2 linked regions of the Lytechinus pictus genome follow. The protein of the gene in region 2 purifies or fractionates together with the protein of the main gene of each other region. This does not show direct contact. Links are inferred from orthologs where the notes say so. Each region holds a gene or a part of one and is shown on either strand. Other genes may lie near its edges.

The links.
Region 1: the proteins of histone-binding protein N1/N2-like (region 2) and histone acetyltransferase type B catalytic subunit-like purify together in Homo sapiens (affinity purification with mass spectrometry; 3 studies listed by BioGRID and IntAct, with this or other methods). This does not show direct contact. The link is inferred for Lytechinus pictus from reciprocal best matches to the Homo sapiens genes NASP and HAT1.

Annotation. Positions count from the first base shown.
Region 1 is NC_087247.1:32,189,740-32,197,303, forward strand, and holds the start of histone acetyltransferase type B catalytic subunit-like, read right to left. Parts: upstream 3,075-7,564; 5' UTR 2,972-3,074; coding exon 2,965-2,971; intron 570-2,964; coding exon 483-569; intron 97-482; coding exon 21-96; intron 1-20. UniProt on the Homo sapiens protein: Histone acetyltransferase that plays a role in different biological processes including cell cycle progression, glucose metabolism, histone production or DNA damage repair. Coordinates histone production and acetylation via H4 promoter binding.
Region 2 is NC_087255.1:22,431,335-22,438,947, forward strand, and holds the start of histone-binding protein N1/N2-like, read right to left. Parts: upstream 3,025-7,613; 5' UTR 2,212-3,024; coding exon 2,135-2,211; intron 1,712-2,134; coding exon 1,598-1,711; intron 921-1,597; coding exon 703-920; intron 1-702. UniProt on the Homo sapiens protein: Component of the histone chaperone network. Binds and stabilizes histone H3-H4 not bound to chromatin to maintain a soluble reservoir and modulate degradation by chaperone-mediated autophagy.

The sequences.
Region 1 (7,564 bases), on a different chromosome or scaffold from region 2:
TCTAAATGAATACAACTTACTTGTCACCAAAGATTTGATGGGTGAAGGTAGGAGTAAATGACCTTGAAGAATCTTCAATATCCTCCTTAGAGCGGACTAAATGGGTTTAAAAAAGAACATCTTAATGATGAACTGTATTTTTGATTGTACATAGATGTAGAAAACACATATTGAAGTATGGCTTCAAAGACTTGAAATGAGTTTCATGTAACAGCATTAAAAACTTCAACATCAAATTTATTGCTTTTAAAATCTACCCTTTGATTGAAATCACTGCCTACCTTTACAATGTTTTTTTTCTTATAAATTGCACTTGTTTTATTTTACGTTAGCCTTATCTGAAGAAGATAAAGAGGCAAACAAAGTGGCGATATCATTCCACAAATATTTATGGTGGAAGGTATTAGAGCTGGCAGTATGGGAATATAAAAAAATGCAGTTTTCATGCAGCCTTATTGCATAACTTAGGTACTTAAACTTACCTAATTTCATTTCTATGACATCATTAGCTCTGCAAATAAACTCCTCCAATGCACTCCTCATGCTATCCATATTGTTAGCTACAGCACCTATGAGTAAAAAAAACCCCACTAAATTAATATTTGGATGGAATACATTACAGGACAATTAAATCAGGAGGCCTCAGATAAATCTCTGCCTGAGAGGAGCTCCTGGGCAGAGAGCACTATCAGTCTGCCGTCATCATTAGTCAGAAATAGGGGCCCCTGTGAACCATCAAATTACATTTTTTTTAAACCAACTTTTGTTTGTATTGCCTAAGTGTTGAAAAAATGAAATTTGAGGTTCTGATTACAAAATCAAGTCCCATTGGGTTAAAAATTGGCAATTTTGACAGACATCTTTAGATTTTCATTAAAAACATATTTTAGTTTAATATTTTTTGAGTTTTTGGAAAAATTGAAATAATAAAAGAAGGAGGAGGGGGAATGAAGCAGAAGTATGAAGAGAAAAAATGAAGATGGATACTAAAAAGCAATCAAAATGAAAAACTACTGTCAGAGGGGAAGACAAGATAATATATTGCTCCTTTTGCTTAACAGGAGGGGATTAAGAGAGTACTGACCCCCCCCCCCCTCCATGTTTGGAGGGATGCAGGTGCTCATTCCTGTGATACATGGATATAGGAAGGGGCTTTAGTGCCTTGACACAATTCCGCTCCATAGAATTGTGAAAAATAAACACATTAAAAAAAGGGTAAGATTTACTTTTCACTGGATATTTTTAAAAGGGTGGGAAAGAAGAAGAGAAAACAAGAAGTGTTGCTCCAATCCCACTCATCATGTCTCATCAAACTCAAAACCCAACCAGTTGTAGATATCCAACCAGACAAAAGGGAACTTTCAAATACAACGTTATAAGATCAAATAAAGACTGCAACCAACGCTCCCTATATCCCAAGACCATCCCAGAATGGAACCTTCTTGGTGAGGATGTCAGACATTCCAAAGACATAGGATGATTAGTTTGGATATCAACACCCATGTCTCAATAGCACACTACCAAAATTAACTGTGTTTAGCGCTTGACCCCTAAACCCAAACGTACGCGACAACCAGATGCTGGTGATTGTACGTCAACATTCTTCTTCTATCATTCACTCTCTGTCCCCTTCCTCATCTCGCTTCTTCTTCCTCCTTCTCCCATTTATCCTCTCCCTTCTTCCTCCTCCGATTCATCCTCTCCCTTCCTCTCCGTACTCGTTCCGCCTCCCATTCACTCTATCCCCCCTTCTTCCTCCAATTCATCCTCTCCCTTCTTCTTCCTCCTCCCACTCATCTTCTCCCTTCTTCCTCCTCCCATTCATCCTCTTCCTTCGCCTCCCATTCACCCTATCCCTTCTTCCTCCTCCCATTCATCCTCTCCCTTCTTCCTCCTCCCATTCATCCTCTTCCTCCCATTCATTCTCTCCTTTCGCCTCCCATTCACCCTATCCCTTCTTCTTCCTCCCATTCCTTGTCTCCCTTCTTCCTCCTCCCATTCGTCTCCCTTCTACCTCCCATTCATCCTCTCCCCACTTGATCCTCCTCCCATTTACCCTCTCCTTAAGTTATTCCTCCTTCAATCTCAGAAGTCACCCTCTCCCTAAGTTATGCCTCCTTCCAGCTCATTATTCACCCTCTCCCTAACTTACTTCTTCCTCCTCCCATTCATCCTCCACTCTATAAAGAATCAGACGAGGTCTCGTCCCATTCATTCATCTCGATCACGCCTTCACTTCATTGTCACCCTCTCCCATCCTCCACTCACACTAGTGCGAGGTTAATATTATTTATTAGTATACTGCTAACCTCGCAAAAAGAACGTTTGTAAGTGGATTTCTAACTAGGACCTAGGCTAGTGGTTCGCGCGTGCTGCACATGACTTCTAACGTAACTCAACGTTAAAGTTCTATGCCTATGGCTTGATTTTCCTATGCGCGGCGGCATGCATGAATTTTGAGTTGAGCATGTCGAGTGGCAATCCTCAGAGTCCCATTCATCCTCAATAAATGACAATATCCTAATTAATTAAACTGCAGCTGCAGGACAAGAAACATATACTTGCCGTTGGCAAATGACAGCTGTTACGTTTTATATATGCATGCAGTTTTTTTTTAGGTCACTTTCACTGTCTGAATAATGACTGCACTGCCACTGCCACTGCCACTGCCAAGCCCAAGCCCAAGTGCCAGGACGTGCCAGTCTGTAGCAATGCCAATGCAATGCTGTGCACTGAGCAGCTGTGCCTGTGCAGTCGGCACTCGGTAGTGTTTTACTTTTTTGTCGTCTTGACTCTTGAGCTTGACACAACAAAAAATCACAAATGTTATTTAACGTTGGACTTTAAACTAAACATTTCAAGATTTTATAGTCTGCATGAGAAAATACGTTAGTCTATGGCATGTCTGAATACATCAAAAAGTGGATGATTTGTCAGGTTTTTATTGTTTACTGAAAAACTTACCCGCCATCTTTCTTGATTTCGCGCGAGACAACTCGAAATCCACGACACGACATTGACCCGGAAGTACTTTGTTCGGCCGGCGACTACCGTCGATCGCGATCAAGCTCCTATTCCAGGTCAGTCTCAATTTTTATTTAATTTTATACCTGAAAACCTTACCTTGACAATATTTATCGAATGACGTGTGACATGAAATATTTCATTCTTTCATGATAGCGTCTATTGGCGCCTTCCACATTTGATTTTCTGCTACAGTGGCTTGTATTTCTGATGCTACGTCTGCTTAGCCGGTGTTTGGAATTTCCAGAGAGCTTCTCTCGCACACCGCGGGGTCAGCTATCACGCACCGAGAAAGTGTTAGCAGTGCCAGCCAGAACTCCGGCGCGACGTCAACCAAACTCTGCTTTGCCTTTGCTTGATCTGCGGTACGGTGAGAACGGTGGGGGGGGGGGGGGGTGTCTTCTTCTTCTCTATAAGTGTCGATGGTGGATTTTGTAACAGGGCTCCCTTTTTTAAAGGTCAAGTCCACCCTACCTCAGGCGATGTTCGTGCAGGCTCCACTCCACTTGATCATTCATAGTATACCGTACCCAGTTGTTGTGTGTCCGGACACTGTGTGTCCGGACGATCAATTTTAGAAAGTCATTTGGAAAAATTTACAAGGAAAGTTTTATCAATTTTTAGTACAAAATGTCAGGAAATATTATAGAGAACAAAATAGAAGATGATTACAACTATTGATTTCGTATTTTACTATTTGTAGTGTAATCCAATGACAAAAAAGAAGGCTTCAAAAATAATTATAAAATAATAAAGTGTCCGGACACCCGATCCCCAATCCTTCCGGTATTTAAATTAGGAATTTAGGGTTCCTGAAGCCACACTGAAATTTGAAAAGTGTCAGCATAATTAAAACAGGCTGATTTAGGGGAAAATATGGCACATTTTTTCGGGGAAATTCAGGCTAATAAAAAAACGTGATCTGAATTGATTATTAACTTGTGTTTGGCATGTATGGAAAGAGAAAATTCAGGGGCTTCTTTTGACAGTAAGGACAAGTTTATATGATGGTGGTCCCAAGTCTGCGCACCTAACATTAACAATTTGAGTTAAGATTTAACATGAATTTCTTCTTATTTCACAAAATCTTTTGGTTAATAATATTCCTTATTATTAGTAAGTGTACCAAATTTCTCATTAAAAAAACCTCGGGCTGTCATTTTCAGATTGAAAAAAAAAATGGTTCCCCTGGCCATGTCTGCGCACTCATTCACTTTGCACACGATTCTGGGATTTTGATGAGAAAGGCTGCATTTTGAGGCCTTCACATAAAATACCCTAAATTCATTATTTTTCCATCATTTTGAGTCAGATTTTTTTATGAATACCTGTCTATCAGTAGAGGCGCACGGCCAATATGGGAGACTCTCTCCAATAGGGGAGACAATCTCCCACATTGGAGACTTGCTTTGCAAAAGGACAAAAGAAACAACACCAACAAAAGCATGATTTTTTCCACCCAAAATGTTGTCTCACTGAGGTCAGAAGCCCATTTGTTTTGTGTGTGATTGACAACAAAAATCCTTATCAAAACAAAAGTAGACGGTGAATTTTTAAAGTAGACGTTGAAAAGGGGTAATTTTTCATGAGGAATCTGCTTATCACATTTTTATTTGCCGCCAAGTTAATCCTTTTGCAGCAAATGTAAACAAAGGAAATTGGACTCCAAAACTGGAGACTGTCTCTGAAATTGGATACCCAAATTCTTTACAAAAGTCTCTGATATTGGAGATAATCTCCCACATTGGAGACAGTCTCCAATATTGGCCGTGCACCTCTACTGTCTATGTATTGCATGTGTAGAGTTCGTGCTCGTTGCGTATCTTCTTTTACTAGAATCGCGCAGATACGCGTGTGCGCAGACAAGGGGGACTGCGCAGACTTGGGGGAACTTGCCATATGATCATGTTTAATAAGGATTTAGAGATAAATTGCAAACCCTTATTTTTGTGTGTGTTGAGATTGCCATTTCTCCATGCGTTTTCTATGGGAAAATGAAATTTCTGTTTTGCACAATTTTTTTCACTTTGTCGCAATTTTTCATTGTGATCTGGTTTCCAAATCTTTATAAAAATCATACCAACTGATAGAGCATAAAAAATCCTATAGTTTCTGGCATTAATAATAAATTCATAACAGCTCTCGGAAGCTAAAAATTTGGATTTGTGTGTGTCCATTTCTTAACTACACAGTCTATGGCAGAGAAATGCTGAAAATTGACCTAATTTCATTCTTCTTTTTTGCAGCCAATAATTGGATTTTTTTCAAAAATGTTACACTTCTGTCAGTCTTAAGGTCATTTCTCTTCAAATTCACAAAGAAAATGTGATATTTTCTTGAAATAAGAAAAATAATTTTTTTCTCCAGACACCCTAATAGTATACCCAGTTGTTGTGTGTCCGGACAGGTTGTGTGTCCGGACGATCAATTTTTTAGAAAGTCATTTGGAAAAAATTACAAGCGAAGTTTCATCAATTTTTAGTACAAAATGTTAGGAAATATTATAAAGAACAAAATAGAAGATGATTACAAGTATTGAATTTCATATTTATAGTGTAATCCAAAGACAAAAAAGAAGGCTTCAAAAAGATAAACTGTCTGGACTCCCGACCCCCCATCCTATGATGCCTATGGGGTGTCCAAACTTCGCGCACTTTTCAAAAATATTCATCAGACATCAGGCTTAAATTTGTTCACAAAATATTCATAATTTATACAAAACCAATTCAAGAAATAGTTACCACATTGACGGCAAGATCGTAAACTGTAAAATCATGGACGAAAATGTAAAGTAGGTCAAGGGGATTCGCCGGTATCGCGATCTCAAAATTCTATTCCAATCGGCGAATGCGCGCTGTGCTGGAAAACCGCTCAGAAAGTGTGACCTAACTTCGCGGACCAAAGTTTTTGTGGAAATTTAAACAAAAACTCAAGCTCAAAAAATGAAATATTTATATCAGATTGATGGCAAAATGCTATAGAATCGGTTAGTACCACATCTAACTCACATTTTTGATGATTTCTGCTTGCAAAATGGTGATATCGTGATGCTTGTTGAGAATATCTGATTTCTTCAAAACGGGCGCTAACAGTGACAAATTTGCCGATCTTTTGCCAATATTTTCATGAATACTGAACTCATCCTAAAGAAACTTACATCAAAGGGTAATTTTATTTTTAGGTCGCTTTTCACGTTGATGATGTCAGATTTTAAGAATATTGGCTAGTTTTTTAGATAATGACCGTCCACGAAGTATGGACACGCGTGAAGTTTGGACTCACTGCCATACCGTAAGGGCACTAGTATTCAACCCGTTTGGAGAGTTTCCTCAAATATATATATTATAGAAATATAGAATTTACCTGAAATTGATTTCAGACCCGTCTTATTTCCAAGAGCAAATGCTGGTTATTCTTTTTCCGTTATTTTTTTCTTCAACCCGTCGACTGTGTGCGCAGGCGATCAAATTATACGGCGATGGTTTTTGGCACTAGTAAAGTAGTATTCAATCCGTCGACACTAAAGTTAGTATTATTTCAACCTAGCGATGAAAGATGGCCCTGTCTTTCAATCTGCCCTTGTCCCATCCGACTATGGACTAGACCAATCGAGATGAGACCAAACAGGGAATTAATCAAAGCCAGAGACTTACATAAATCTAGATCTAATTTAGCAATCTAAACCATTTTTAAATTAGCTATCATCACTAGGTTGAATACTACTAGTACTCTACACTAGTATTACTAGTGCATTTCAGTGCAAAAGGTCATCGCCACATAATTTGATCCTCCGCGCATACAGTCGACAGATTGATAAAGAAAATACCGACAAAAGATTACACTTGTAATAACAAAGGTATGAAATTAAGATAAATTCCCTATTTCTAAATATTTGGGGGAATTTGTCAAAATCTTTGAATTATGCCGGGTTGAATACTAGTGCCCATACGGTACTTAGACTTAGTACCGCTACACTACGCTCTACCTACCCGAACATCGGGACAGTGAACTAGATCGAATATTCCGAGTCATAAATTGGGATGGCAATCATGGTTATCGTAAGAATTAAAGAAAAAATATATAACGAGGGATATGAATGACTTAATATCTTACTCTACACCCGTATTTCACTCCGTGTCCATCCTCCGGTTATCCTCAAAATTGGTGATTTTGGGCAAGTATCTTTTTCCTCACACGTATTATTCACGGCCGATTTCAAAACATCGCATGCGATTGGTCGCATTATTATTTAACAAAAATAAAATCTAATACGTGATTATAAATAATTATTGTTATTATAACAATTATTTTCAATCAAGTTTCAAGTGATGCAGGTGAGACTGCCAGAGGCGCTCCACTTGTTACTCTTTCAATTTCTACAGCTGATTAATATAGGTTTGACAACAATGACAACTTGACTGAACCACGGGTGTAGAGTAAGATATTAAGTCATTCATCCCTCGTTATATTTTTTTTCTTTAATTTTTACGATAACCATGATTGCCATCCCACCTTTTTTGACTCAGAATATCCGATCTAG
Region 2 (7,613 bases):
TATGAATGAACTATTTAGAATCCAGTTTGCATAAATTTACTAGTCACGATACTTGACAAATTCTTTGGATGTAGAGAACAATTGTCCAAGTATGCAAAAATGTTGTTAGTTTGAACCTATTGTTCAGTAGAGTATTTTCTAGTCTAAATGGAAGCAACTGATTGTTTAAATAAAGAAGCAGATGGCTCATAGTTTCAAGAAGCTTTAGCTTGAATTCACAAGTCAATGACACACCCAATAAGCGCTTTAGATTACTGTAATTTAAATTCTTTTAGATTCCTTTTAAATAGACAAAGCAAATGGCATCCTATTCAAATTGGATGATCCAAGACAGTGTAGAATTCAATCATCCCCAGTGAATGACCATTGATAAACTGACCATCTAAATACCAGGGAATGTAATCTATCACCTCCAGCTAATTCTACACTTATCCAAATCTATCTAATCTTGGGTGAATTCTACACATTGCTCTTTTCCTTTCAGTTGCATTTATCCATTACTTTATTTCAAAAGAGTGGGTTGATTTTATCTAACATTTTATCTATTTAAATTGTAAAGATTGAATTAATCGGGGCTTCTTTTAAAAATATTTTTAATGCTCCATATATGTACATGCAAGATAGCAAATGAGCTGTCCTTTATTTCCAATGAAAAATAAACTTGAGCCATCCTCTATAAAGATATACCAATAACCATTTTACCTTCTAGCTGGTCTGCACTTTCTACCCTACTTCCAGTGCAACTTTGCTTTCCTTCTCCTTCTTCGTCGGAATCTGCCGAGTCGGCTGAATCATCTGGGACCCCCTGCAGAGCGTTGCCAAGTACACCATTCTCCATGCTCGCTAGTTCAAGAAGGGAGCATCCATATTGATAGTACGCATCCCCACACTCCTCCGCAGTCTCGCCATATTTAGATGACCTGCAATTTAAATGTGCAAGATATATACACGATTGAATTAATGGATTCTGAAATCTTCATTTTCCATAGATTCGATGACGGACCACCCAGTTTCAGTACACAATGGGATATAAATGTAGTTACATTTATCTACTAAAAAGAATAACACTTTCACTCTGTAATGTTAGAATTAATGTAATCAAATTGATTTAGTATAAAATAATAAGGGTAGGTCTGCAAGAAATGGAGTAAAGACTAAAATCATTAGATTAATTGAATACTAGGATTCTATCACAGACCTCTAAAATAACACAACTCTTGAATTTCAAAGGAATATTTTCCTTCATATTTTGATTTGTGTGCATTCTGCAACCTTTGAATTCAGTAATCAAAGTATTTTCTCAATCCAAGGGAATTGTTCTTTTTAAGTAGACCAGCTATAAGGCTTGGAATAATGTACATGACCAATCAATAAAAATTACTTGTTTCCTAAAAAAAAATCATTAAATGTAGATCTATAGATGTAAAACTGAAAGAAGGTGACAATTTTGGACAGACAAAAAAGGTCAGTTTGTCTCATGTTAATATGCTTAATAGATAATGATGATCTTTCAGATAAAATAAGAAATAAACCATGTTTTTTTAATTGATTTTTTTTTTTTGGGGGGGGGGATCTACTGAAATAAGATAAATCGTACAGCAGTTCACAAGCTTCTTGGAAACACTGGACAGCAGCTGGAGGGTCACCAACCACAAGATTCCTCTTCCCCTGGCCCATCAATTCTAAGGCTTCAGCATCAACGTCTTCAGGGCTGAAATGAGAAAAATAATGTAATAGGTCACTCATCATACAGAATTCAATTGACAAATGAAATCTGAATATCAAATATCACTCCAAGCATCAATCCAAACAAACGACAAGAAACCAAAGTCCAATTTGGCTACTTCATCATTTTGTCACTCACATGTATTGCGAGGTTAGTATATGTTCAATAATTTATTAGACCCTACTGATTTGTCATAATTAGTCATTCTATTTGACCTTTAGAATTTAATTTTTAAATAAAATTATAGACATGATAAAAGTTTCTTGACTACGAGGCCAAACTTGACCTGTTGATGATTTATAAATGCAAGAGACAGCTAAAAATCTTTAAGTCATCTTTAATAAAATTACTCCAACTTTTAAGCATGCCATTGCCAATTTTGAAAAGTAAAAATGCTGCTCAGCTCACCCGGCATCTTCTTGTTCCACCTCTTCGATTTCAGCAGCAGAACTTGATCCAGGTTTGTCTTCTTCCGTCCCAAGCATTTTTGTGTAGTCTAGACTTTGTGTGTGACTGCTCAAGAAAAAATGTTCCCCACTGAACCGTCTTTAACCAGGCTTAGCGTTTCCTAATTGGGATAGAGTGATCTGGTGATTTGAACAAGTTTTCTCAGTTGACTCGACTCTGAACTTTAATTGAAGACTCGAGTTGGAGTTTGTCAAGATGACCACCTGCCGACGATACTGTCATACATTCGAAGAAGCAGAAAGATGTCCCCAGCTTACAGTTACCCCTTCTGTTTTCTTCAGAATCAGGCTTTGACTTTGTCTTTGACAATGACAGGTCTAACTTTACTCTTACTAGCTCACTCACTGTCCAAAGCAAAAGGCTAATTACATGAATTAATAAGCATAAGCTGCATGCAGCTCTCTCTGATACTGAGCGAGTGTATGTGAGTCAGTGACAGAGGCCTAGAAGTGTGTATATGTTTGACTGTCACTACACTGCCAAACTCCTGCCGTGCCTGAGAAAGGATCCGTGAACAGTTAAGTTAGGAGTCGGGCGCTCGAGCCTAGCCTCCGCCTACGCCACGGCGTAGTTTCTTGCCGACAAAACGTCACAAAGACCAAGTCAACAACAAAATTAAACGTTAATATTTCGACTTCAATGCAATGAAGTCAAAATAATATTCCCTCCCAGTCGCAAGACCAAGATATCACACATGTGAATATCAGATTCAGGAGGGAGTCTGTCCTGGATCTACAATGAATGACGAATTGTCTTCGATAGAACAAACTCGATCTCCTGAAAATTTCAATGAATGTTTTGCACGTTTTATGTACGGGCTCGAATCGTCTACAGGAATAACAAAGGAGTCGCCCCCAGATAACTCTGTTGAACGAAATTCGTACCTACCGGTACGTGTAAGTAAGATTTTGCTTGTGATCAAAATAATCGCAGGATCGGGACGTTTACGCCCCTTTACGCCCATATACCCTTTAAGTTAGTGGGGAGATCGATGCCCGGACGCGACGATACGTAGATTTGAATGAAAAGCAGAAAAGAAGAAGGGAAAAAATGGGTGAAAGACTTTCACAGAAGATTCGATGAAAATCCGTCGAAGAATGAGACTCCAGTGGCCCGAAATCTATATAGCATGTCATGTATAAATTCCATTAAAAAAAATTTGAATAAAAAAGATAATCAAGTTGGATGATTCATTAGTGGCCTAGCTTTCGTTTTAACATCATGTAAATAATGTTATTGGAAGACCCAGATGAAACTATACCACGGATTGACCTAAGCATAATGAACTCAAAACAATTAACCTTATAAAGGAAATGTGATGGCTTTGGCATCGGACAGCAGATGTACTCCCAGTAAAAAAAAAGTTAAATTAAACATTGTATGCCTATATTATTCATGACTGAGCATCTATTTTACCTGTAGGCCTACTTGTCAGTATATACTCAAGTACTTTCCTGTGTTCAATGATGATATATACAAATAGGCCTATAGGATAGCCCTACGACGCCTTTAGGGCCAACATACCTATACATAAAAAAAAATAATGAATTAAAAGGGGGGCAGTGGCGGACCGTGACCCGGAGGAGACAAAGCATTGGAGGGGCACAGCATTGTTCACAAACAAGTGCCCCTCCAATCATTGTCTCCTCCGCGGGTCACGGTCCGCCACTTGGTAGGCCTATGGGCCGCGATCCTTCGGTATCCCTTTCAAATATCATGAGGAAATTCAGTGTAGTTGGGGCCTTATTTAAATGGTTTCTCGTCTGTGACACCACAAATTAAAATAATTCTTTATGGATTTTCACCACTCTTCTTTTCTCTCTCTTTCTTTACTTTGACTTTTATTTAAACTATTCCGGGAATCTATTCAGAACTATACAGAATCAGAGATTTTAAATCTTGGCCTTTTGAAACTTGCTCAAAGTCTATAGATTTGAGGGGCCGCACGTTAGCCTCATGATCTTTATATAGACCTTTTTTATTCTAAGCCGTCTGTTTGACCTTCGAACCAACTATTTGACATGCATTGCCTGGCCCAGGCTATATGCCCGGGGGGGCCACTTCCATTGACAAGTGGATACCATGCGCGACCACGGGGTCTCGAAAAGCACCCTAAACACGTATTTTCCATGTTCTGAAAATGCACCCCTTAACAAGTATATTGGCGTCTGAAACCCTACCCTTAACAAGCATTGGAAACAAAACTATACTCTTGGCAAGTATTCCCTGAAATGAACCCCTAAACAAGTATACAGCGATATTTTATTGTTGTGTCACGGGTCCGGCGGTCGTCGGTTTTATCTAATTTACACACCATTTGGTTTAGTATGGCCCCACCTTCCTCACCTCGCGCAAATCGGGACTCTAAACACGTAGTGTTGGGGCAAAAAGGACATCCTTTATACAACATTTTAATTTTGTTTGATCATCCCCGCAAATGTGACCCTAAACACGATAGCTTTCCTAGCGAAATAGATACCCTTTTTTCATTATTTTTGTGTTTTTGACACCCTAATCACGTTACGTACGTAACGTGCCCTATCTTGAAAAAGACATCCTTTTTACGTGTTTTCTTGGTCGCGCATGGTATCCACTCGTCAATGTAAGTGGCCCCCCCCGGGCTATATGGGAAGTAAATATCTTCTGAAGGGGATTTGTCCGGGGGATTGGTTTTATTATAAAATCAGAAAAATATTGGTGAAGGGGATGAAGGGTGAACATTATCAAAGAATACGCGGACGGAGTTGTGATTTTTGAATTTTTTTATCTTTGATACATACTTTAAATTCGCCCACTTAAAAGTCATTTAAAAAAGAAGGGATTTTATTCATAGTGGTAAATGTATCATCACAACATTTTTTCCTTTCTATGAGAAAAATATTTGTATTCATCTCAAGTTCCATTGAAACTTGATGCTCGCACATTATGACGTCACACATTAAAGTTCGAAGTACACCCTGAAGAAACTAGCTATATAGGTTGTTGTAAAATAGCCGGCAGAACAAACAATAAAAAATATTGGTGAAGGTTCCAGGAAACTAATTCATTTATTATTCAGTTATATAGTTTTGGATTTGTCGAGCAGATGCCCCGTATATAAAATGAATAGATTTCAATTTTTTGATGGTTCGTGCATTTTTTAGGAACGGATGTGAAATGATTTGTCTATTGATATACCAAGCCGTAGAAAACCGTGTTTTTTTTTATTTTCGATTTTCTGAGACAATGACATTTCATTGATATGCTTTCACCCAATATGAAATCTGCTCGCAAGCCTCGCATTATTGCGTCACAAGAAATCAAATCTAAAATTCCAATAACCTTTTTTATTCTTTGATATTTTTCTCAAACCTTCGGCAATATTTATTTATTGTTTTTCTGCTATTTGTAGAATATAAAATTTTTGTCAAAGTGAACTTCCCCTCAAATATAGCCCGTCACTCTAACAAGACTCTATTCTCAGGTGCTGCCTCAGGTCTTTGCCGAACTTACATGGGGACATTTTCAGTATTACTTTTTTTTTAAAGAAGAAATGCCAAATAAACTGTAGAAGAACAGAAAATTCGAAGAAAGCTTTCATATCTGGAACAAACGGTTTTTTTAAAGCGTTTTAAGGCTCGATTCTGCAATTACCGATCGGGCGAATCACGTAATAGGCGATTTTTTTTTTACGATAAGGATCTTTGAATCAGCTGCAGGAAAGATTTCGCGCGTTACTTTGTATTGGTGGCGCGCCAGCTGTTCCATTGATTGTACTTACAGTTTTAAGGTCACAGATGAATACCATATTTTTCGAAAAGCAGCTGGACTGCTATATGCTACATACTATCTAAGTAATTTCAATAATAATCATATCGCAAAGCAATATATTTTTAAAGAAAATAGATTTTGAATTGGCTTTATATTTCGTATATATATCATCTTCTACAAGATCTACTTCCGGGATGGAATATCTCAGATTCTGATTACAACATGAATATTCATTGCATTAATATTCATGTAGGCTTTTTCAAAAAGTTTATTTGTATGAACAATTTTTATTACATTTGCAATTAAAAATACAAAAATATTGTTTGATATATTAATTAAAATTGTAAATAATTTTTTAATGATTTAAAACCCTTTGCCATAAATAATAATGAATGATTGACGAAACTGTAAAACTCAATTGAAGAAATAGTTAAAGTCTGATGACGTCACATTCTTCCATTTTATATTGGTGTATGCAGCCTCGTGGTCTATATACCGGTGAGTTATAATCTTATTTGAATGACTTATTATCAATATTTGTAGGTACTTTTATGATGAAATTTAAACTTATTCTGTATATGCTTTTAAAGCTCAATCTATACCCTGCCAAGATTTTAATTTGTCATTTGTAGAAAGTAGAAACTTTTCGGTTTGTAATTGTAATATGCCAATGCAATGTGACTTGGGCGAGTTTGCATTTATGATCTTGAAGTTTTACAGAACAGCGCAGTTGCAGGGCTTGTGAGCGCATCGTCGCATAATGACCCTGCCGATCACCCCGGCCCAGAGCAGGCAGTGTTTGATGTATGCACGTCATGTAGTGCACAGGTATGCAGCGCATATCGCCATGGAATGGCATGACTCGGGAGCGTGGGCCCACTCTAGACAGTCATGTAGATCTATCTCGTACTAAGAAAGGGAAAAAAAAAATTTTTGAGGGCTCCATTTTAAATTTTTTGTCAAATTTCGGGGGCTCTTATTTAAATTGAATGCTACTTTCTTGTTTTCTATTGTTCTTCGCCAACGTTACCCGACGCACGCGTCTGGGATAAAACTTCATTTCCGACATTTCTACGACTACGCTCTCGTTATTTTTAAACCAGAATTCATCAAAAAAGTGAAAAAATATTGTGAAAAGATGGAAGAGACTTGCCCGATGTTTACGCCGCCATCTTGTTTCTTATTGTACTTCCCCAACGTTACGCGACGCTCGCGTCCGTTTCAGGTTTTCAGTAGAGTCGCACGGCCAATATGGGAGACGATCTCCCACATTGGACTTGGAGACTTGCTTTGCAAAAGGACAAAAGAAACAACACCAACAAAAGCATGATTTTTTCTACCCAAAATTTTGTCTCACTGAGGTCAGAAGCCCATTTGTTTTGTGTGTGATTGACAACAAAAATCCTTATCAAAAACAAAAGTAGACAGTGAAAAGGGGTAATTTTTCATGAGGAATCTGCTTACCACATTTTTATTTGCCGCCAAGGTAATCCTTTTGCAGCAAATGTAAACAAAGGAAATTGGACTCTAAAACTGGAGACTGTCTCTAAATTGGATACCAAAATTCTTTACAAAAGTCTCTGATATTGGAGATAATCTCCCACATTGGAGATAGTCTCCAATATTGGCAGTGCGCCTCTACTGGTTTTGGGGTCCTTCGTGTAGGTGA